3 linked regions of the Elephas maximus indicus genome follow. The protein of the gene in region 3 purifies or fractionates together with the protein of the main gene of each other region. This does not show direct contact. Links are inferred from orthologs where the notes say so. Each region holds a gene or a part of one and is shown on either strand. Other genes may lie near its edges. The genes, in order: WWOX, signal transducer and activator of transcription 5A and ERBB4.

The links.
Region 1: the proteins of ERBB4 (region 3) and WWOX purify together in Homo sapiens (affinity purification with western blotting; 4 studies listed by BioGRID). This does not show direct contact. The link is inferred for Elephas maximus indicus from reciprocal best matches to the Homo sapiens genes ERBB4 and WWOX.
Region 2: the proteins of ERBB4 (region 3) and signal transducer and activator of transcription 5A purify together in Homo sapiens (affinity purification with western blotting; 3 studies listed by BioGRID, with this or other methods). This does not show direct contact. The link is inferred for Elephas maximus indicus from reciprocal best matches to the Homo sapiens genes ERBB4 and STAT5A.

The regions. Positions count from the first base shown.
Region 1 is NC_064839.1:43,876,002-43,883,833, forward strand, and holds the start of WWOX (WW domain-containing oxidoreductase), read left to right. Parts: upstream 1-4,777; 5' UTR 4,778-5,111; coding exon 5,112-5,218; intron 5,219-7,832. UniProt on the Homo sapiens protein: Putative oxidoreductase. Acts as a tumor suppressor and plays a role in apoptosis. Required for normal bone development. May function synergistically with p53/TP53 to control genotoxic stress-induced cell death.
Region 2 is NC_064837.1:49,224,023-49,231,479, reverse strand, and holds the start of signal transducer and activator of transcription 5A, read right to left. Parts: upstream 3,057-7,457; 5' UTR 2,971-3,056; exon of another isoform or gene 2,967-2,970; intron 2,179-2,966; 5' UTR 2,169-2,178; coding exon 2,041-2,168; intron 1,714-2,040; coding exon 1,557-1,713; intron 379-1,556; coding exon 289-378; intron 1-288. UniProt on the Homo sapiens protein: Carries out a dual function: signal transduction and activation of transcription. Mediates cellular responses to the cytokine KITLG/SCF and other growth factors. Mediates cellular responses to ERBB4.
Region 3 is NC_064824.1:111,015,226-111,022,764, reverse strand, and holds the start of ERBB4 (receptor tyrosine-protein kinase erbB-4), read left to right. Parts: upstream 1-4,523; 5' UTR 4,524-5,225; coding exon 5,226-5,307; intron 5,308-7,539. UniProt on the Homo sapiens protein: Tyrosine-protein kinase that plays an essential role as cell surface receptor for neuregulins and EGF family members and regulates development of the heart, the central nervous system and the mammary gland, gene transcription, cell proliferation, differentiation, migration and apoptosis.

The sequences.
Region 1 (7,832 bases), on a different chromosome or scaffold from region 3:
TTACCTAGTTTAGTGGATCCCAATCTTTTAGATTTCACACAATAGAGAAAGACTTTTGTTTTTGGTATTTGTGTATTATTTTAGTGAGGTGGTTTAAATTGCGATGGTCACCTTTCTACTTGTGTCAAGAAGGTCACTTTAAAAATTAACAAAACAAAAACAAATGAAAAAACACTTGCCATCCTATCATCATTATTTCATAAAAGATAGAATATTTTAACACTGAAAAAGTTGGAAATAATGCCCAAAGCTTCTGTTTGTCCCCTCCCACCCCTGTCCTAGCTCCCAGGGGTCAGGCCCCACTGTTAGATGGTAGAGATAATGAAGCTTTTTCCCTCCAGCCTGATCAGAGCCCTGGTGGCTCAACAGTTGAGTGCTCGACTGCTGACCCAGAGGTTGGCTGAATGAACCTACCTAGCGGCTTCACGGGAAAAAGACCTGTTGATCTGCTTACTTAAAGATTACAGCCAAGAAAATCCTATGAGGTAGTTCTATTCTGTCACATGGGGTTGCTATAAGCTAAAATCGACTTGAGGGCACCTAACAACAACCAGGAAAACGTGGTAGTGTGGTGGTTAAGAGCTACGTCTGCTAACCAAAAGGTCGGCAGTTTGAATCCACCAGGCACTCCTTGGAAACTCTATGGGGCAGTTCTACTCTGTCCTATAGGGTCACTATGAGTCTATGAGTTGGAATCGACTCGATGGCAATGGGTTGGAACAACAACCTGCCTGAGAGGTGAAACTGGCTTCTGGCTGTTGCTAGTCTCTCGTTGTTGCTAATCATCAACCCCTATTTGTCTTCTCAGCTCTTCCATAACCTGCAATGAATTCCAAATGTGGACACACTGGAGTCTCTTTGCCTGATTGGACCCTGGCAGGTACATTAATAACATGTGTTGACACATTTAATCTTATAATAACACTATGAGGTAGGCACCACTATTATTTTCCATTTTTCAAAGACTCTAAGGGAAGTTAATTGACTTGACCAGGGTCACACAGCTTGTAAGTGACATTAATCAAAAAATCAAACCCATTGCAATCAAGTCAATTCTGACTCATAGTGACATTATACCAAAACAAATCCGTTGCTGTTGAGTCAGCTCTGACTCATAGTGACCGTATAGGGCAGAGTACAACAGCTCCACAGGGTTTCTAAGGAGGAGCTGGTAGATTTGAACTGCAGACCTTTTTTTGGTTAGCAGCGGAGCTCTTAACCACTGCGCCACCAGGGTTCCCATAGTGACTTTAACCCCCCCCAAAAAAAACAATCCAACCTGTTGCCATCGAGTCGATTCTACCTCATAGTTGAATTCCAAAGATAAATTAGGAAACCCTGACATCTGGGCTCTCCCCTTCCTTGCCTACCTATAAATCTTGATCTTAATTTCTCTTAGAACCCTCACATCATAGTTCTTTGTGTGTCTGTTGGTGTTATCCCAATTGACTGTGATTTCTGAATATAGCGAGTGTCTCATTTTCTCAATATTTTTCCCTCTGAGACATAGTGTATTTTTTTTTTCCACTCATATGTTTGAATGAATAAGTGAAATACAAACACACCTTTCCAAATAAGACCACATAGACCAGAAAAGAGTTTTTCCTAAAACACCTGTTCATCATTCCTCTTTGCTGGTTATCTCTTGGTAAAAAAGGTTAACAGAAGAGCCTTTATTGGGGTGTGTGTTTAGTGTTGGGAAGGAAATGACCACCATCCTCCTGGTAATGAGAATAAACTAAACCAATGAAGCTTTAGAAATGTTAAGGCAAAAACTTGTGCCCACTGCATATGTTTTTTTGAGTAGTACCAAATTTTGTTTTCAGCAAAAAAACAACAACAACAAAAAAAACCAGTCTTATGTTCATAAATTGTCAGATATTGCAGAAGTAATAAGAAAGCTGAAACGTAGAAATCCATAATTTGTCATGAGTTGGGCTGATAGGGCCATCTGGTGTCTAGTTGTATAACCACACTTTTTTTTAATAGTGTGAGCCAGTTAGCTTTTCAAAAACAAACCACTCTTTAGACTTTCTTAGGAGTACATTTTGAGGAGCTTGGCTCATTCCTGAATTTAAGGTTCCTCGAAACCATTATAATCGTACTATATAAGGGCCTGCCCTTTGATAAACCTTTTTAAAAGCAAAGTCAAAGCTATATGCAAGCTAGAAGTTATGGATTGGGGGGGGGAGGGGGTGGGGGAGAGAATGGAGGCAAAACTATGAGTAAACAGAGGAAGAAAGTAAGGAGAGAACAGAAAATGTGGCCCAAGAGCAAGGGGATTTGGGGGGGTGGGGGTGGCAAGAGACCGTGAAACCCATGAGAAAGAAAAAATGGGCCTGTCTTTGGGATCCCTCAGGCCCTGCTAATGTTATAGTTCATGTGTACAACCATAAATTCTTGAATGAGTCTTTAGTTTTTGTGAAGTCAAAAGAATACCCTAGAATCTGGCATGGTAATGCTAATCCTCACAAGTCCCCAAATGCCTGTATATCTTACTTTTTAAACCTTCTGATAAAGGCCAACAAATAAGATGTAAGGAGAGGGGGAATCAGATGAGGTCATGATAATCACTTGGGACCATTACTGGTGTCTGGGCCACCCACCCAGACTCCCTGCTGGCCCATGTCTCTCAGCTGCAGAGATGGGCTAGAAACTCAAGAGGCAGGTGTACTGGAACAATGCTACGGAACCTGTGGCTAAAACCAACAGGGTCCAAGTACCACTCTGTAGTCTCCTGTCAGAAATGGGCTCTTTGCCCCCCACGTCCCCATGGTGATCCCATGTATTTCAGAGTAGAACTCCTCCATAGGGTTTTCTTGGCTGTAATCTGTACAAAAGCAGTTTGCCAGGGCTTTCTTTCTCATAGCCACTTAGTGAATTCAAACCACCAACCTTTAGGTTAGTAGTTGAGCAAAAACAGCTTGCAGGACCCAGGCTCCTCTGGTCAGGGGTAACCCAAGATAATTATCTAAACAGTCAAGTCAGTCTTTGAGAAGCTGAGCACTGGCCACAGATAATGATTGGAGATACTGAGGCTAATCAGTTTGGCCCCATTCACCTGCCTTCCCACCACCAGGGGCCTTTAAGACCTAATTTCCTATTCATATTAAAAGAATGAGCGGGCTTGGGTAAGGTTGGGGGGTAAACCGGGGTGAGCAGAGGAGCAGCAGATTAACATACATATGTATTTATATATATAAAATGGCTTATTTAAATACACATGGATTTGGGAAAAAAATCATGTTTCGATAGGTTCGAGGTGGGATAGCAGGTCTGTTAAAATTAAAATGTGATTTCATTTAGTTAGATTTTGATTGGGCAATTTCAAAGGAAAGCAAGAAGTCTCTCAAGAGCATGCAAGCAGGTATCTAAAGCAATACCAATTTCAGGACTCAAAAAGACAAAAATAATACTGCTCACTTACAATACGTATTATTTTTTTTTCTGATACAGGCCTGTATATTTCTGAGACCTAGGCCAGAGAAATCATGGTCAACAGATCTCCCTGTAACACAGGGCTGGGAGCCAAGTTGCAAAGGGGGACTGTTCTGGAAAACTCTGTAACCAAGGCCTAGTTGAAGATATGCTTCAGGTTTTTTACACAGGACATTTGTAGGATGCTTGTCAGTGCTCCAGAGCCCTGATAGTGTAGTGGTTAAGAACTTAGCTGCTAACCAAAAGGTCTGCAGTTAGAATCCACCAGCTGATCCTTGGAAACCCTAGAGACAGTTCTACTCTGTCCTATAAATAGGGTCACTATGAGTCAGAAGGGAAACCCTGGTGGCATAGTGATTAAGTGCTACGGCTGCTAACCAAAGGGTCGGCAGTTCGAATCCGCCAGGCGATCCTTGGAAACTCTATGGGGCAGTTCTACTCTGTCCTATAGGGTCGCTATGAGTTGGAATCAACTCGACGGCACTGGGCTCTGGGTTATGAGTCAGAATTGACTTGATGGCAATGGGTTTGGTTTGGTTTGTCAGAACTCCAAGAGGACTTGAAGAAGCCTGCTTTGTAAATTTGAAATTTTGTTTTTAATTAGGGTTGATTCATAAAGGACCACCCCTAAGTGATGAAGGAATCACATTCACTCATTTCATTCATTCAATAAACGTGTAGGTCCAGGCATTTTACTAGATGTTAGTGATAAAAAAGAAGCCTAAGATACGATTTCTCTCAGTGTAGTGGGGAGTACACAGATAATTATAATGCAGTAATAGTGTATCAACTGCCCATATTCCCAGCTCTTGGCTTTCTAGCTGTGCATCCTTGGGTAGTTAGCTAACACCTCACGAAGGTGTCCCATACATGACAGAGTTAGTCTGTGAATTTCTAACCAGGGACCCGATGTTAAACGCTCGATAAATGTTAGTTATTAATGGAATCACGCTGAAGAGGGACGAGACTTCTGTCAGACTGCCTGTCACCTGAAAACGCGGGAATTTGCATTTTTAACGTTCTCCAGGCGATTTATAGGCCCAACAAAGTTTGTGACTCACACACAGCCTGGGTGATGGAGAGCCCGGGAAGGTTTCTCTGAAGGGGCATTCACTCTTCATAAGGCCCTAAAACAAGAAAATGCTGCAGTCCGGCGAACCACCCTCGGAATCTTTTCCTGTTGGCGCCGCTTTCTAGCACGGGTGTGCCTGGACTACATCTCCCAGGATGCCCCATTGCTAGAGCTCCCGCAGGATTGGTCAGAATAACGCGGAAGGGATTACGCTCTCCCAGCAACGGGTGAAGCCCTGGACAGTGACAGGATGCGCACGCCCCTTCCCTGCGGCCTGCAGCTTGACGAAGCGCCACTCCATTTCCAGAAACGTGGAGCGTTCTCCGGCTTTTAATTCCAGCCGAATGGCCGTGCGACCTCCTAGGTGCTTTCACCACGCTTCTCCTCGGGCCCCGCCCATTTTCGCTTGGCAGTTTTGAAACTCTGGAGACTGGATTGCAGCTACGGAGTCAGCTGAGCGACTTTGGGCGGCGCAGTGCGCAGGCGCGAGCGGTCGGGGAACAACGCGCGCGGCACTCGGTTGAAGCGGGAGTTTCTGGGTGAGGAGACCCGGCGGCAGGCGACCCAACGAGTGGGTGACAGAGCACCTCCTCACACCGCCATGGCAGCCTTGCGCTACGCAGGCCTGGACGACACGGACAGCGAAGACGAGCTGCCTCCGGGCTGGGAGGAGAGAACCACCAAGGACGGCTGGGTTTACTATGCCAAGTAAGGGGGCCGCAGTGGGCGCCGCCGGGCCAGGACGCACCTGGAACCCGACGGCCTCACGTGCCCGGCCACTCCACTGCCCTCGCACGCCACCTGCGCGGCACCGTGGGCCTGCGTGGCGAGGGCGGTGCAAAGTGGAAGTAATTGCTGGAGAGTTTCAGCTGAAGGGCTTCGCCGGTCCCGAGAAGGGGCTGGCCCCTCTTCTTGAGCCCTGGGTCAAGCGAGGGTCACCTGGCAACGTCAGGCGCGCCCTCTGCTGTCCAGGAGGCAGCACTGCACGGCGCAGTGGTGGGCAAACTGGCCTTATCCAAAAACAGTAATACAGAAGATAAAACAACGTGCAGAAGTCCACGTCCCTCCTCGGGGGTCTGGGGAGGGGGCCTGGGAATATGTACCTTTTAACAAATGCCTTACAGAGTTTCATTATCCTTTCCTGGGAAAGTCCTGAAAACGCTCGCAGACCCTTCAGAGTCTTAGCACCATCATTTGTTTTATAACCTTGGGCAACTGAAAAAAACACTCTCAGTTTTCTCATCGGTAAAATGGGTTGCTATGAGGTTGGTCCAGGCACTGTGCGTAAAACACTTAACAGAAGGTGTCTTAAATACTAATAATAAAAGTAATAAATAATAACTGTTAGCCTTTCCCACTGTCTCTGCAGCTAGGGAGTGTCTTAAGTACAAATACTGAGTCTCCACAAGGCCCCTCTTTTATTACACTGACATGGGTGACTGGTCTTGACTGGTTCCCATAGCTGGAAGGTACATCTTTCCAGACCTCTGCTGGGCGGTCTGGTCTTTGACCTTTCCTAAGCCTGGATTCTCAACAGTCCCCTTGATCTCTCCTGACATGTGTGAGTGTCTCTGGCCTTTCTTTTCCCTCCTAACTCTGGAAGGGCCACTAGTCTTTCTCTTGCGGGTTGGGAAACTTTGATAATGTGCATTCACAAAGATTGTCCTTCAAGTCATTTTTCCAACATGTTTTCCTTTCACTGCAGCAGGGCCAGGCCCAAGGCCAGGGCTGATGGGACAGAAGCTGTAGCTCCTATTGAGACCTTGTGGAAACCCCTTTTCCAGCTTTACCCTTTTCCTGCTTACCAGGTCACCTTTACTGATGCCCCATGTGTACTGAGAGACACCTTGCATGGAACCCCCACCAGCCTGGGGTCTCCAGGGAGAGGCAGTCATCCACTGTTTCCAGGGTCTTATCAAGTAAGGGGAGCTCTGGGACATTCACACCCACTGAGGGCAGACCTCCCGCTAGAGAGAGCTAGCCAGTCCTTTCTCCCCTCCCTGCAGTGGTCTAAAGTGGCCCTTCTGTGGCAGATGGGTGGAGGAACAAGGTGCCGGTGCTGGGGTCTTCCTGAATCCTTCCCACTCGCCCCTTTTTTTCTGCCCAGGCCTCTTGGCTGCCAGAATACAGCCAGCCTTTCCCTGTTGAAAGGTGGTTCTTTTCCACAGGATGCTCGCCTGGGCTCTTCTTCCTCACTGTGAGCTCTAGATCTCTGTGCCAACTTACAGAAACTATGCTTAAAAAAATCCAAAAACTTGGACGAGCATACATGAAAGTGATGTTCATATAATGTAGTATAAATGTAATTTTGATCCCTTTGGTTTGAATTAAAATCACCAATAATTATTTCTTTAAATGACAAAAAGCTTATTGAAAAAAAATGAAAGAAGGCTTCTATTTAAGGAAGATAACACTTTGGGGACTTGTTATAATTTACTCTTTATTAAAAACTTACTTTAGGCTACAATTAAAAAGAATAACTTTTAATTAATTTTTACATGTAAGTCTTCACTTTGAAAAACTGTGTGGAAGGCATAGTTCTGAGCTCTTCACACATGTTAGCTTGTTCAGTCCTTTCTATAACCCTGAGTAGGTGTCACCATAGGGATGCCTGGTGGTAGTGTTAAGCCCTCAGCTGTTAACCAAAACTTGTGAGCAGTGTGAACCCACGAGTGGCTCTACAGAAGGAAAGACCTGGTGATCTGCTCCTGTAAAGGTTGCAGCCTAGGAAACTGCATGGGTCAGTTCTACTCTCTCGCATGGGGCCTCTATGAGACGGCACCTAACAGCAGCAATATGTGTTACTATTATGTTCATTTTACTGATGAGGAAACTGAGGCACAGGGAGGTTAAACAGTATCTTCCAGGGCATGCAGCTGGTAAGTGGGAAAGCCAAGCTCCGGAGTCCTCAACCACAAAATTACTCTCTTCATTTAGACCCAAGGGTTCTGCCTTCAGGGCACCTGTGCCCCTCAGGACAGATGTGTGCCGCAGGCTGCAGATCTGAGCCCTGTGTTCCCCTGGCAGGAATTTGAGGTCTATCTCTGGTTGTTATTGTCTTTGAGGGGGCTGGGATTGGGGATTACTGTCCAGTGACTCGCTTGTTCCTGTTCCAGGGAGCAGGTGCCTTAAAGATCCTCAGGGCAGACTGGAAACGGCCGGTGTAAGCTGAGAAATTGAATTAGGCAAGGGCCTGCTCACTCCGACCTGGTGTGATGCTTCCTGTCCTGCAGGTCACTTGGTCTCTCTCATCCCTTTCGCTTGTCTTTTTCCTGATCCCGCCCTCTCTGGCCCTGGTTTCCCATTGTCACCCTCACCACTG
Region 2 (7,457 bases), on a different chromosome or scaffold from region 3:
CTATGAGATAGGTACTGTTATTATCCCCATTTTACAAAGGAAGAAACAGAGGCTCAGAGAGGTTAAGTAACCTGCCCAAATCAGACAGCTAGCAAGCGGTAAAGCCCGAGATTGAACATGGGCAGTCACTCTGTACCTGAATGTAATACTGCCTCTCACAGTTGCCTGTGTCTCTTATTTCACTGGTTCTCCTCATGCCAGCGTTCTATAGAAACGCAGTTGTGTCTGTGGAGAAGAACGTGTGGAAGGACTTCGCAACTCCTCTTCCCACACCCATGGGACACTTACATTGTTGGCTTCTCGGACCAGCCTCTGTTCATTGTACAGAATGTGGCGGATGCAGCGGACCAGCTCCATGGGGCAGCGGTCGTATGTGTTCTGAAAGAATCCAAGAGCAACCACCAGTGCCCACACTCTGCTCCAGCCATGTCCATCCAGTGCCATGACCACCCCTTCCTCTCCTCCAGCCTCTGCCTCAGCCTTCCCCAGGAAGCCTCAGGAACTATCACCAGACAGCTCTTGTCTCTCCTTGACTCGACTTCCCCTCCCCGGTCTTCATGTTTGGTCGGCAGTGAATTAGAAACTCACAGCTTACAAAGCACTTCCAATCTACCATCCCCTTCGGCTCTCACAGCATAGAAACCCCATGACATAAGCTGAAACTATTATGTCCACATCACAGATGGGAAAACTGATGCTCAGAGAGGTTAAGTACTTGTCCAGAGGCAAACAAGAGAGCAAGCAGCTAACTCAAGTTTGAGACTCAGGGCATCTAATGCCAAGATCAAAGCAATTTCCACTATACCCCTGCTCCTGGGTTCCTAATTTGCTCCCCCTACCCCAAGTTTCTCTTGTTTTCTCCTTCTTTTGGGATGGACTTTTTATTTCCCAGGGACCGTGCTGTTTGTATTTAAGGCTCTCTAAGAAATTAAGAAATACAAGTGAGTTTCAATATATGCTTGACTGTGATCACCACCTACACCCCTTTCCTGCTTCCACAAAAACTTCTTCTCCTTCCCCTCTCCCCTTCCCCCATGTGAAGGTAAAACTACGCCTCACATCTGAACTCTCCATTCCAGGCCCTTTTATCCAGCTCTTGCCTTCAGGACAACTCTGCTCATTTTCCGTCCCTCAGTTCAGCTCCTCTCCCAGGTTTCAAAGAGCCCCAAGAGGGGTGTCTGGTTGCCATATTCCCTCACTTCAGAATCTGCCAGTCTTCCTTCAACAGAGGAATCCTGACTCAGTCTACCTCCATCCCTTCTGCTGTCACTGAAGATACTTCCTTTGCTTGATCTGTCCATCATGCTGTTCCACCCATCTTCCTTCTCTTGGGACAAACATCCAACACCCCTTGCTTTGTAATATGGTAAAGGAATCTGACATGTCTGATTTAGAAAGAGGGGGTGGGGGAAATTGAAGCACTGAAAAGTTGCAGATAAGCTCAGGGTCACATTGTGAGTCAGCGGCCAGGCCAGGAAAAAAACCCAGGGGCTCTGATGCTGGAAGAAGGCAGACGGACACTGCCTCCCTATAGATGGCCCAGCGCTCACACCCACCTGGAGCTGTGTGGCATAGTGCCCCAGCTTGATCTTCAGTAAAAACCCATCTTCCCCCACTTGGTGCTCGGCCTTCTTCTGCAGCTCCTGCACCAGGCCCTCTAGGAGCTGGGTGGCCTGGGCTCGGTCCTGGGGATTGTCTAGGTCGATGGCATCCCTTGGGGCAGGACAGGGGAAAGAAGCCTACTATGGCACCTGCTTGGACAAGGATGTGGGGCACCAAGAAGGGCATGGAAAACCCAGGCTTGTGACTAAGGGCACTCTAGGGCCCACAAGACTTGCTCCCGGTAGTTCCACAGGCATCAGAGTCTAGAAACATCCCCTCTCCATTTCCCTGTTCCCCTTTCCCAGGGACACCGCCCCTTTTGCACAGTGAGGGACAGACTGGAGGAGAGTCACACCAATCTACAAAGCGGAGAGTCAGAGGTCAAGGGGCCTGAATGGTAGGGACTGCAGAGGAGGGCGCAGGGCTGGGGCCACCTACCATGGCTGGCTCTCAATCCACTGCGCCAAGTAGTGGCGGACCTCGATGGGGAAGTGCTGCCCATAGAGCACCTGCATCTGGCGCAGCGCATCTCCCTGCAGCTGCTGGGCCTGGATCCAGCCCGCCATGGCTGTTCACCTAGGGCAAGCGGAGGCTGAAGGGTCACCTCCTCCACAGAGGCCAAGAGCTGGGCCTCCCTGAGCCGGGCCGTGCCCACCCATCCCTGGACCGCAGTCAGGCCAAGCCCCTCCCCTCCCACAGACACGCTTTCCTGTGCGGGAAGAAAGACGGTGAGGAGGGGAAGGCCGCCCTTCTCTCTAACAAGGAACCCGCTGAGGCTTGGGGAGGGGCTCTCGAGAGTCAGGTGCCCTCCCCCTCTTCCTCTCCCCTCGCCCCACCGGGGCTTCCCCAGGGGGTGGGGGGGCGCGGGCGGGGGGACTGCCAGAAACTGAAAGAGAAACATGGCAGCGGGGCCAAAGTCCTCAGGAGGGCTGCAAGAGTTTCCCCCTCCTCCCTGCCTCGGACCCCGAGTCCCAATATCTGGGAAAGGGGTAGTTACAGTCCAAATTAGGCCAGCGCCAGCGACCACTCTCACTCGACGGCTGGGTCCCGGCGGGCACGCGGCTGGAGTTGTTAAGCAGAGGGGGTTGGGGCCCGGACGCTTGGCCATCGGCTGGGCCCCCGAGCCGCGCCCCCGAGTCACCTGTCCAGCACGACAGCGCCCCCTCCCCACTGCGGGCCAGGCCCCCTCCTTCCATCCTCTTCCCTTGTCAGCTGTGCGCACTGCAACGAAGCTCCTTTTCAGTCGGGGACTGTTCCCTGCCTCCTCCCGTCTGGCCCCTGGGGTCCCAGGGCGCGGGACCCGGGCAGGAGGCGCGCACCCCTTATCGCGCGCACCGCCGGGGACGCGCCGCCAGGCCACTCACCCACCTGATGGGGCAGAGCCGTCCGGCGGCGGGGCCGGCTAACCGCCAGCGACTCTCACTCCGGCCCGAGCTCCCGGCGGCGGCGGCGGCTGTTACTACAGGAAGGAGCAGAGAGCAGCGATTTCCTCCTCAAAGGTCAGCTGCCTCCAATAGACCATACACAGCGCGCGAGCTCTCCCAACACCCCTCCCTGCCGCCTCGCTCGCTCCCTGCCTCCGCCCTCGGTCGCTGGTTCCCCGGCGAGTGCGCAGCGGCGGCCGCGGCCGGGCCCCGGGCCCCGAGGCTGGGCGGCGCCGCGCGTGGGGGCTGCCCCGACGGCGGGGTCCCCCGGGAGTCCCAGCCAGCCTGAGGCTCCGCAGGAGCGTCCGGGAATGGTGGCGGGCAACAGGCGCAGGAGTGGCCGCTGGGGGTGTAGGGTAGGGCTGGAAAACCCCGGGCCCTGGAAATCCCAAACCAGGGGCTCAGTTTTCTCATCTGTGAAAAGGGAGGTGGGAAGGGCTGGACTAGCTAGAGATGGCTTCCAGCTCCGGCGTTTTGTCATCTTTTGTCTCTAGATTAAGAAAAAAAAAAAAATTTGTGTGTGTTTATGTGGGTTGGGGGCACAGGTTTTGTGAAGTCAGAGGCAGAGCTTAGCAAGGGGAAGGCCTGGGGATTCCAGAGAAGTGGAGCTCACCGCCAGCACCTCTTTCCATTAGTCCCAGCACCGTCGACTCACCCGCTGCAGTAGGAACGGGCAAGGACCTTGACATTCATGTATTGAGCCTCCAAAAATTTGCAGATAAGAAATTGAAGTCTAGAGAGGGGAAGGGGCTTGCGAGGGTCACACAGCTAGATCTAGTCCCCTGAGTATGGTCCATAAGTTGTCCTGCCCTTCCCCTCACCCCAGCCCAGTTACATCTGAGGCTGGTCCTACCTTCAAAAGGTCCAGGGAGGGATTGTCGTGAATCCCACTCACAGCCCTTACAGCCTCCTGTAGACCTTGCCACAGTAGCCAACCCCCTTCCAGGGACCTTGCCTGGGTCACAACCCTGCCCCCTCTGACAGCCCCCCAACAGGGCTCTCCTGGTTGGGTAAGGCCAAACTGGAACCCTTCCATTCCCTTTGCCCAGCTTCCCTCTCCCCTGGGCCTCCCCTCTCTCTGGCAGCTGGTATTGGCAGCACCAAGGGAGGGGCCAGCTTGGCTGCCCACTTACAGCACAGCTGGGCCAAGGCTGCATGTCCTCCGGGGCTCGTTCTCATCTGCCTCCCTCCCTCCCTCCCAAATCCCTTCTTAGATCTGCCCTTTTCTCTCCATTCCCTGCTCCCCATGCCCCCTTACCCCTCCCTGATCGCACCATTATCTCCCCTACTTTCAATGTTTTTACTTCAAAGAAACATTTAGGTTTAAAGTGTAAGTAGGTGAAATGTCTGGGTCCCACCCCATCCCCCTTTCTTTCCATGTTTGGTAAGGTCACAAGGAAGGGAATTGAAAACCATAAGGGGTGCGTAGAGGACTGGGGAAACCTTACCCCACGGATGTTCCAGGAGACCCTTAAAAATAAAACTAAACCCACTGCTGTGGAGTCCGACTCATAGTGACGCTATAGGACAGAGTAGAACTGTCTCAGAGAGTTTCCAAGGAGCGCCTGGCAGATTTCAACTGCCGACCTCTTGATTAGCAGCCATAGCACTTAACCACTAAACCACCAGGGTTTCCCAGGAAAGCCTTCCGAACCCACTGCCGAGTCGATTCCGACTCACTCATAGCGACCCTATAGGACAGAGTAGAACTGCCCCACAGAGCTTCCAAGGAGTGCCTGGCAGATTTGAACTGCCAGCCTCTTGGTAACAGCCGTATCACTTAACCAGTACGCCACCAGCAGAACCTTAGGGAGGAGAAATCACAATCCCTTCTCTCCTTCCTCCCACTCTGTGCTATGAGCAGGCAGGATCAGACACAGAGCTGGGTGTCCTTCTTTGCCTGTTTTCTTTGTGTCTTTGTGTCTGTGTTCTCACCTTGAGAAGCAGTGGGGAGTGAGAGGAGTTTTGGAGCCTTCCCAGGATTGGCAAAGGCCACCCAAGGGAGTGGGGGAGGGGAGGACATCAGAGTTGGGTTGGGGGCAGAGGCGGCTGTGGTCATGGCTCCAGATAACACAACTACCCGGAAATGTCAAATTTGGGGTTTCTTTTTGCTTTCAGTCCCCTGGTTTGGTCTCTGCTATTTCCCACCACAAAGCACCTGGTGGTTTTAGGGGCCCATTCTATGAAGGAGAAAACTGAGGCCTAGGGGTTGGGGTTCAGGAAGATCAGAAAGTGCTTAGGGTCTACACTAAGCTGGGGTCCCAGGCTGGCCTCCTTGCCCCTACTGCCTCCCACCCCCAATTCTAAGGCACGGAATTAGGTGAAAAGTAAGGAACAAGTAAAAAATCTTATGGAATACTTCACCAAAGAGAAGACTGGCCATATTTTATTAGGAATAATAACCGTCCCCAGCTTAGTCTGTAGTTAGCACACTATACACATATTCTGAACTAAATCATGGCATATTCGTGAGCAAACGTGGTTGTACACTTCGTAGACGGGGCCAAAATCATCCCCTTTGGTTAGTCCAGGAAAGAGAGCTGTCCAAAGCTGTCTGAGCAGTGAGCGGCACCAGGATCCACGTTGCCTGGCCCTGTGGGCAGGGTCCCAGTGCAGACATTCCATCTCTCCCAACCCCAGCACACACTTGCAGAATGTGGATGTCTCCCTTTGATGGGGTCAGCCCATAACTGTTGTGTGGTGCGGAGCATGGCACCTCCACCCCCATGCCAGCCCATGCCCCTCCTCTGTTGAATAGAGGCCTTATGTGAAAGTGGGTTCAGTTTATGGAGGAAGAAAAGAATTGTCCCCAGTCCCCTGCCTTGCCATTGGGGACCAGGTTAGCTGAAAAGGCCCTGCAGATGCCCCTACCTGGGGAGAACAGATTGAGGTCACCTTGACCTGACCATTCCTGAGGGTGGGGAGGTGGACAGAGATGCCTTTGTTTCCTCTGCTCCAAGTCTCTTCTTCAAGGAGAGCTCCTGCTGCGTGGGAGCCAGGGGGAGGGGGGGTGGGAGTGAAGGGCCTTCCCAGGAAAGCTGGAGGCATTCCAGGAAGTAGCTCTGCACCCAGGTGGGGGGGGGGGGGGGCGGAGAGCTGAAACCCTTGGGGTCTTAAATATCCTGCTTCACCCCACCATGTCTCTGCTTAGCTTGTTCACCTCCACTCCAGCCCCATCCCCTAGCTCTTAGAAGGCCCGTTCTCAAGCCTCCTCACCCTGGGATCTCCCTGTAGAAATGCTGCCCCCATTCTTGTCCATGAAGACAGATGAGGACCTAAAGAGGGCATCTTTGTGCATGGTGAGGAATTTGGTATGAATTTGGAGGAGGGTAAGGCGCTGCTGGGTCCCTGGTAAAGCCTGATCTGCCTTTTTGCCCCTGTCCCCTGTCCCCCATCATTCTTCAGGGAAGCCAGTTTACAGTGAAGTCACCAAGAGAACACAAGGCTATCCCGCCTGAGGCATATTGACTGTTTTCCGTTTCTGGGAAGAGTGTGGGGAGGGGGGCAGGACTGGACAGTGTGGATGGAAGGGGGAAATTCTGCCTTCCTTTGCCCAGCTGCCCTGCCCAACTGCCTTGGGGGAGAGGGGCCCAGGCCCGGTTCTCTTTAGACAAGGAGAGGGGATGCAGGGTCTGTGCTCCCCAGCAAGGGAGTGGGGAGACTGCCCTTTTCAAGTGCTCCTCATAGAGGAGAGGTGAGCCACTGGATGGGGCTGGGCCGCTGAGTGGGGCTGGTGCTGTCCTGAGCAGCCCAGGGTTAGGTCTGCTTCTCATCCTGATTCACGATGACTATCAGGCCCCTCTTCCCGCTAAGCTAGGTTCTCCTTCTTCAGCCCAACAAGAACTCTTTTGTGCCTTAGCCAGCCCTGTACCCAACCTCAAGCCCTCTAGGCATTGTGTTGGGGGGGGCTGTCCATCTCCGTCCCTACCACCCCCACCACTCTCCCACTTGCCTTTGTTATGATTGGAGGGAGTTCCTCTCCATGTCTCTGTTTCTCATCGTTTCCTGATTTCTTAAGCACGTAGACCCACCCACATCTTCCCTGCCTGCTGCTGTGCTCCAAGGTTCATAAAGGGCGTGCTAGCCCAAGGAGCAAATGGGGGATATAAAGCCAAAAAGAAGACCTGGCTAATGCCCCAGTCCCTCCTCTCTGGCTACTGGCTTGGTCATCATTGCCTGCTGGGATCAGTGCCAAGCATAAGCCTTCCCTTCACTCCATGCTTCAGCCCTGTCGTTGCCCCAATACACTGACCTCCCTCAACCTCACGTCTTTGCCTCCTGTGTTCCACCTACCTGGTGTGCCATTCCTGCCTTGGCCACCTGGTGCAAGCCTCCTCATCTTTCATATAGTCAGTGTGGTGGAGAGGAAAACACAAGGCTTTGGCGTCATAAAGTCCTGGTACAAACTCTGGCTCCACCTTGAACTAGCTG
Region 3 (7,539 bases):
TTTGTATAATTTTATTGGGAAAGATTGCTAAGTCCACAGGGCTGAAATTATTTTGCAGTTTCAATCACAAACCGGAAAGGTCTATAAGAACTTGGACAGACACTGATGAATGGACATAAAGCAACACGGAATTGATTTACTTTTTAGTCACACCTCCTGAGCTCTTAAAAAATTAAGGCTTAATCACGTATATAAAAGGAAAACAACAGTTATTAACCCAAAACAAAATGATCTTGGGGAGGACTTCTTTGAGTGTTAAATTAATGTAACAAAAACATTTCTTTGGTTAGTGCATATTAATATATTCAAACATTTATTGAGCTTTGGCCTTAAAAATTAAATGTCACCAAATATCAGAGAATGCCAGAAATCAGAGGTTTAAGAGCAAAGCTATTATTTCAAGTGCTGAGTTAAAAAGCAAACAGAAAATACCAATATTGTGTTTGTCATCTGCTTGATCACCATAATACTGAATCTGACTGGTACTCAGCAACATTTCCTCTTAACTGGTAGAACAGTAAACATTCAATTCTTTACCACTACACAGTGATATAACTGTGAGCCTATCTGAATATTTTCCTAAGGTAGTTTAAGACACGTGTCTGCGTGGGTGGTCCAGACAGAGATGTGTATTGTGGGTAAGCGGGAAAGAGAAAGGAGGAGGTATGAGAGAGTATTAAAGTCTGTGAAAATTATGACTTACACTTAGTAGATGGTTAGTAAATCATAGACCCATAAAGTCTTGAAATTGAGAGTTTACAACAACAGGCATATGAAGCATATGAAGTAACTATCTCAAGATCACAAGATAACTTAGAAAAATGAATGGGGAGAAAAAAATAGAACCCTAGATTTATTTTTAAATATTCATAAGAAGATAATGGATTTACAATAGCGTTCCATTTCTTTTCTTAGTTGATATTTGTCCCCAATTTATATATATATAACTAATGGCAAAATGTGCTAACAGCAATCTCTAATCTCAGAAACAAACTAAAGATTATGTGAACTGTGGAATTCTGGGACAACGCTAGGGATCTACTTCGAGACTGAACACTCAGTTCAGTGTGTTTCTTTCTGGCACCATCATCATTCTGTCACACATGATATCAGAACTCTTTTTTTTAAATTATATTACTAATGGAAAAAATGAAGTGGAGAGGGGATTCAGGAGAGCAGCCCTGGACAAAGGCATCTATATGTCATGGTTATGGCTTCAACCAAAGGAAATCATGAGAAACCAGGAAAGGAGACTCAACAATATTGGCCATATCAAGATGTCTTCTTCAAGGATCATACTGGCATATATAATCTCATTTATGTTGGAGGGTCCCATTTTACACTCTTTAGGTTTCAGGTAACAAAAATGAAAACTGAACTAGCTGAAGGAAAAAGGGGGTTTGAAAAAATAAGCCTCAGGAAGAGCTTGGATATTCTCCAGACCCATCTGGGATTTTGCTCCTTTCAAATGGCAGCTTCATTCTTTCTTACTGCAGCCTAGTGATCTCTACATAGAAAGAAACATAGCCAGGCCAGGTCTGTAAATCTAGATCTCAAAAGCCACAATGAAAGACTGAATATGAGCTGTTTCTTTCTCATGCACACAGTCTCAGGGAAGAGTCTCAGTGGGAGTGACCATTTTTCACCTAATCAACAGTAACCTAGGCATTTTGATTGGTTCAGTGTAGAACTGGAGAGTCGGGGTAGGCTGTACCATAGAGGCAAATTCAGGTTAAAAATGTAGATCTGGAGGAAGGGCAGTTCCTCGAAATGGGGTACTAAGCAGATAATCTCCGGTGTTTGTCTGTTGGTTAGTAAAATACCTGTAGATACAACCATGTTAGATTAGTCAGTTTTATTTATTTTTTTTTTCAGATTTCGAGTAACAACAACACATGTAACTCAGTTGGTAGAGATTTATCATAAAGATGCATAGGAAAGTGAAGAAGTACAGAGATCAATTTTAGCAAGCCTCTAGCAATCCAGTTAGTATATCCCTCCTTCTACATCAGGTAGTAAATTGTCCCTACTCTGGTGTTCCTTCTTTATGACTCAGCCGAGACCAGAAACAAAATGACAGCATATACAGAAAGAACTAATTCTTGTCTCTGCCTCATGGCTTCTAATTTCTCATCCTTCAGACTTGCCCCCACAGGGTCCCACCCTCCTGTCTACATCTCCAGGTCTTAAATGATCTGAACTAGGCTCTGATTGGGAAGACCAGTCATCCTGAAATGTAGGATGCTTCTGCTTGGTAGTGCTTTCATGCCAATCCATCTTACAAGCTGCTGGTCAGACAATCACTTTTAACCAGGACCAATCATGTTTCAATTAGTTAGAGAGAGGAAAATGGGATCAAAGCAGAACAAACTGAGTATCTGAGGCCTTGTAGAGGCTATCTAGTATATATACACAAACACACACACATACAAAATAGACTAATTTTTTAACCAATGAATATTAATTGAAAACCCTCTTTTGCAAAGAATTATTCTAGAGGTGATGGGTGAGACCAAGATGTATGGAATTCCTGCCACAGAAGAGTAAGTATAAAATTGATGGGGGAGTGGGTGGTAAAAATGATCACAATGGATATGAGTAGAAAAAAAAAACCCAAAATATCCAGACTATTTTTTGCCCACAATTTAAGGTAAAATAAATAACCCATTTCTCACTTCTTACAACAGAACTGGTATCAGAAACAAAGACTTAGTTTTTTTAATAATGGAAATTTTAAAAAGAAGTAGCTTTCATGGAGGAGAGGTGTCTAAGAGTCATAAGAAGCAGAAGGGGATTTAAGGACAAAAGAGTGAGAAGAGATTGAATGAAAGGAAAGAAACCAGAGGGGGTGGGAGATAAAAGTAGAAAACAAAGATGATCCCAAAGAGCAGTAAGCACAGTTCTGCACAATCAGTACCATTCTGGTCAAGTCACCATCATCTCCTTTAGGCTTAACTGCTTCCCACCCTAGGCTGCTTCTGGGTAACAGAGCATGCTCATCTCCTTTGGCCTCCTCTCAAGGCCTGTTACTTGCTCTGGGCCTGAGAGGGAAGGCTTCAGGCTTCTGGGATAAGACTGCTCTTCCTATCTGTTCTCAGCTCCATGGAAATTCTTAAGGGACAGAGCTCTAGATAAAAGCTGAGGAACAAAGGAGAGGTCTTAAATGATGAGTGAAGAGGCAGGATGGCTTGATTTTTAAGCTCCCCTGATACTTTCTATTTATGTATTTGCTACTTCTAGAGAAAGCAAAAGGAAAATAATTCATACGTGAAATGCCTGTGCAAATTGCAAAGCAATAACCTACTACCCTCAGGAGGTTCTGGCCCCTGCCCTGGGTATAGTTTCAGAGTTATAGAAGGCAAGGGGTATGTATACTGATATGACCCGGTCCCAGGATATTTTAGATCCAGGGAAGGCCAGAGACTTCCAGAGCTAGCAATGACCTGGGACTGGGACCATGAACTTGCAGAGTGAGAACATGGAAGGGACCTAAAGCTTGATTCACTATAGAATAATCCTAATCATTTGAGGTCCGTTATCTCCTGACTTGGCCGCCTTAAATTCTTTCATACTAAACAGCTCACACTCTGGGCAACTTCTAGCTTTTCAGGACCAAATCAATACCTTTGGACTAGAATCTGAATAATGAGAATAAACCCAAACCAAGTTGTCCTAGAGCCCAAGAAAAGGGTGAAAACACCTATAAAGTCTAAAATCCAAACAATTTTACCTCCCCCTCCCAAGAAAAAAATCAAACCCATTGCCTTGCAGTCCATTCTGATTGCGACCCCATAGGACAGAGTAGAACTGCCCATAGGGTTTCCAAAGAGAGAGGCTGGTGGATTCGAATTGCCGACCTTCTGGTTATCAGCCCAACTGTTAATCACTGTACCAGCAGGGCTCCAAAAATTTTACAATCCATACAAATGTGGAGTTTTAGTTCGGCTCAGTGTCAGCCAGTTTGGGAAGGTGGGTGTTGGGAGAGACTGCATAGATGGGGAAGGAGGATGATTATACCCCACCACTACCTAATCTGCGGAGGCTCACACTACCCAAAAGTCAGTACTGAGTTTTAAACTATTTGCTTAGTGTGGAGCATGGGGGAACAGGGGAAGGAGGGAAATGTTTTGCCCGAAGCGACGTGGATTTTGCTTCTATTTCTAGGGATGTCTCTGGCTGTGGATTAGCACCTTGGGGCAATGGCGAATGGTGACTTCGTTTTTACGAAACAACCTTTAAACACCCCTCCGGTAATTTGCCCACTCCGCGGGCCAGCTGTCCTGGGCTTCTGCCGGGGCGGGAGGGGGAGTGTTTTAGTCGGTGGCCTCGGATTAGCCCTTTAATACCAGCTTCCCCCGCCCCCAACACCCTTCTCCATCTCCCTGACAGGTGTTTTCCCAACTCCTGAGGCCGAGGATTTTGGGGAGTGGCTGAGCCAATAAGATTTCCCTTTGGGGGGGGCGGGGGAGAAGGCGTGGCTAGTAGGGTCAGAGCAGGGGCGGGGATTGCGCGGCTGAGCAGAGCCTGCTTGGTTGCGTGGAGGGCTGTTTTATTTTATTTTTCCGGAGTCTCATTAATTTCTCTGTGGGGCTGCAGCTGGAGACCGCGGAGCGTTGGAAATGACGCTCGGAGCTTTAATTACCGCAGCCGCCGGACAAGTGTGAGGAAAAGCTGCGAGGGAAAGAAGGGCAGAATCAGGGGAGAAGCGAGAAGCTCCCCCCACCCCGCCCGCCCCTTCCCTCCTGATTTGGACTGGAGGTGCAGGGACCCAGAAAAAGGAGCCGAACGTAGCCCGGCTGGGGTGGAGAGGCCGGAAACCTACCGCCTCTTTGCAATCAACTTTTTTTGGAAACCTTTTTCCCCCTTCCTTTTTATTGTTGACCAACCAGAGCGAGAGAGAAAGTGAGGAGGGAGCGAGAAAGCAAAGGCTCACACGGGGACGTAGCTGCCCAGTCCGGCCGGCCCGAAGCACCACGCGCACACACTCGAGCACACTCCCACCGCACACACCCGCACGTATACTCGAGCCCCCTCCCCGGCCCCGGCCCCGGCCCCGTGCGCGTGGACTCCTTCACCCGCCTCGGAAGCGGTTCGCCGCGCGCGCCGCCCGCCAGCCCCCCTCGCGCCCCACGCGCTCCGGGCTGAGGAATCTTCTCCGCGTGCCAGAAAGGGGATATGCCATTTGGACATGTAATTGTCAGCACGGGATCTGAGACTTCCAAAAAATGAAGCTGGCGACAGGACTGTGGGTCTGGGTGAGCCTTCTTGTGGCGGCGGGGACCGTCCAGCCCAGCGCTTCTCAGTCAGGTGGGTCGCGGTTCCTGCTTCTCGCGCTCCAGTTGTTGAACCTGCTGCCGCCGGCTTGGTCGCCACGGGTGGCTCTCTCACCCTCTTGGTCCAACCGGAGACCCGCTCACTCCCAGGCGTGAAAGGACCACCCGATAGGGGCCTCTTCTTTGGGCTCTCGGTAGCCCTTCTTTCCATTCCTAAACTTACCCTGTGTGTATGTGTTTTGCTTTTGGTGAAAAATCCCTCTGCGTCCCGGCCCGCCTCTTTTTTTTTTTTTTTTTCTCTTAAACTCCCCTTTCTCTCGCGTTTTCTGTGAGCCTTAGCGGGATCCCTGTGGTCGCGCCTGTTGTCCGGGACATGCGAGAGCCAAAAGCTCAGTCAGAGGACGCTAGCCTCTCGCAGTCTCTGCCCGAAAAGGAAGAAGCCTGGGGGAAGCGTGCCCCGGCTGGGTGGCGGTGCCTGGCGGGCTCCTAAAGGGGAACGAGCTGTGGAAGGGGAGCTCCGAGAGCGGGCTTGCACCTGTGTGCGTGCTGGCGGGCGCTGCGCCCCCAGTCGCCGAGCCTTGCGGGGTCAGACCTAACTAGAGCCCAGCCGGGGCAGCCGGGGCGCGGCAGGCGGGCTCGCCTCGGTCCGGGGGCCCGGAACCCGGGGCCTCCTCGGCCGGCGTCTGGGAGTGCATTGGCTTGAGGGGCGCTGACTTGCCAGCCTGAGCTCTTTAAAAAAAAAAAAAAAAAAAAAAAAAAAGGCCTGGCACACTTGAGGCGGTTGCTGTGTTTGGCTCGGGGAAGAGTTGTTCCTGTAGTTCAACTTGCTATTGGCCGGAGTCCCTCCAAGTTCTCTGTTTACAGCCCGGCGGGGCTGCGGAGCCGGCCCGTCGCGCGAATTGATTTACCCCGAGGCGGGCGCGGCGGCTGCGCTCCAGGCGCGGCCACTGTTTGCTGGAGAACTTGAGCCCGGGATACCCCGGCAGGCCCTGGGCTCAGTGAATCCCTAAAGGCAGCGCAGCGGGGCCGGCGCTCCCGGCGGGCAGGACTGCTGACTGCACCTGCCGTGCGAGGGAGCGCAAAGTTTCTGACACTTGAGTTTCCTGGGAGATGACAGTGGGACAGGAAAGGAGAACAGAGGGGAACCCGTGGCCGAGTCGAGGGACAGGGGCCTTTTGGAGAGCCGGGTAGATTTCCGGATTCATCCGGGGCTGGTCACGGGAGCGTGGGAGGCGGCTTGAGGAGATAAAGCTTCCGGAGGAGGCGATAGGGAGAGCTTTAGGCCCCCGGAGTGTGTCCTTCTGACCTCACCAAGAAAACTGCGCGCAGTAGTTTTCCCGCTCCGCCTCCGCCGCCTCCCCCTCCTGCCTTGGTACACAACAAGTTATAATCGTCCAGGCTTTCCAAATGACCTTCGAATGGCACATGTGCACCGTTGGCGCTGGCCGTTTGTACCCTCCCAATTACTCCGAAATTCTTCATGCATACCAAGTCCCGCTCTCAAGCCGCCTCCAGAATTGTCACACCAACACAACACGGTCTGGAGATTCCAAGCGGCCTCTTAGATAACATCCCTTTTTTATCTCCCGCCCCGCTCCGATTCCCTTCATATTTTCCTTCAATGGGTTGATTACGCACATTGACCCATTCAAACGCAGTTGCGACTGCCACGCAGGGTTAGCTGAGAGGAATGTCAAGGAAGCGACCTACTGGGGGCTGTCTGGTGCAGCCTTAGTCGCTGGGGGACCCGACTCGAGTCCGCAGCAATTTGTTATTAACTGTGCGGCTCGGGGGTTAAGTTATGCCGAAAAGCCCTTTTCAGAATTTTTGCAAGGAATGTAATCCAAATTAGTTCTGCAGCTGTCCTCTTCCTCGTCTCAGGCGACACCGGCTCGCGCCCTCGCTAGTCTCTTCTCACTTCCCCCGGGCGAATTGTCAGACCCACAAGTGAGCCCATTTAGAGCGCAAGGATTAGCGTACCATTGTTGTTCCCTGTGTGACTCTGTACTTGAAATTCTAGGGGCACAAAGGCGAGCCTCACTTGTTCAAAACACAAAGTGATCTAGATGAAAGGGCCGCACAAAGAGCTCTCGGGCGCATCCCTGGTCTAATTGCAACACGCATACTCAGGTGATCCACTGGAAACTGTAAATGCCCTTGGGGACTTCTTTTTTCATCCTCTCTCCCCCTGTACGCCGCCGCACCTGGCAGGGAAAGTTAAACTGGTTTTAATGTAGTGCTATTATAAAACCAAGTTACTGTCTGG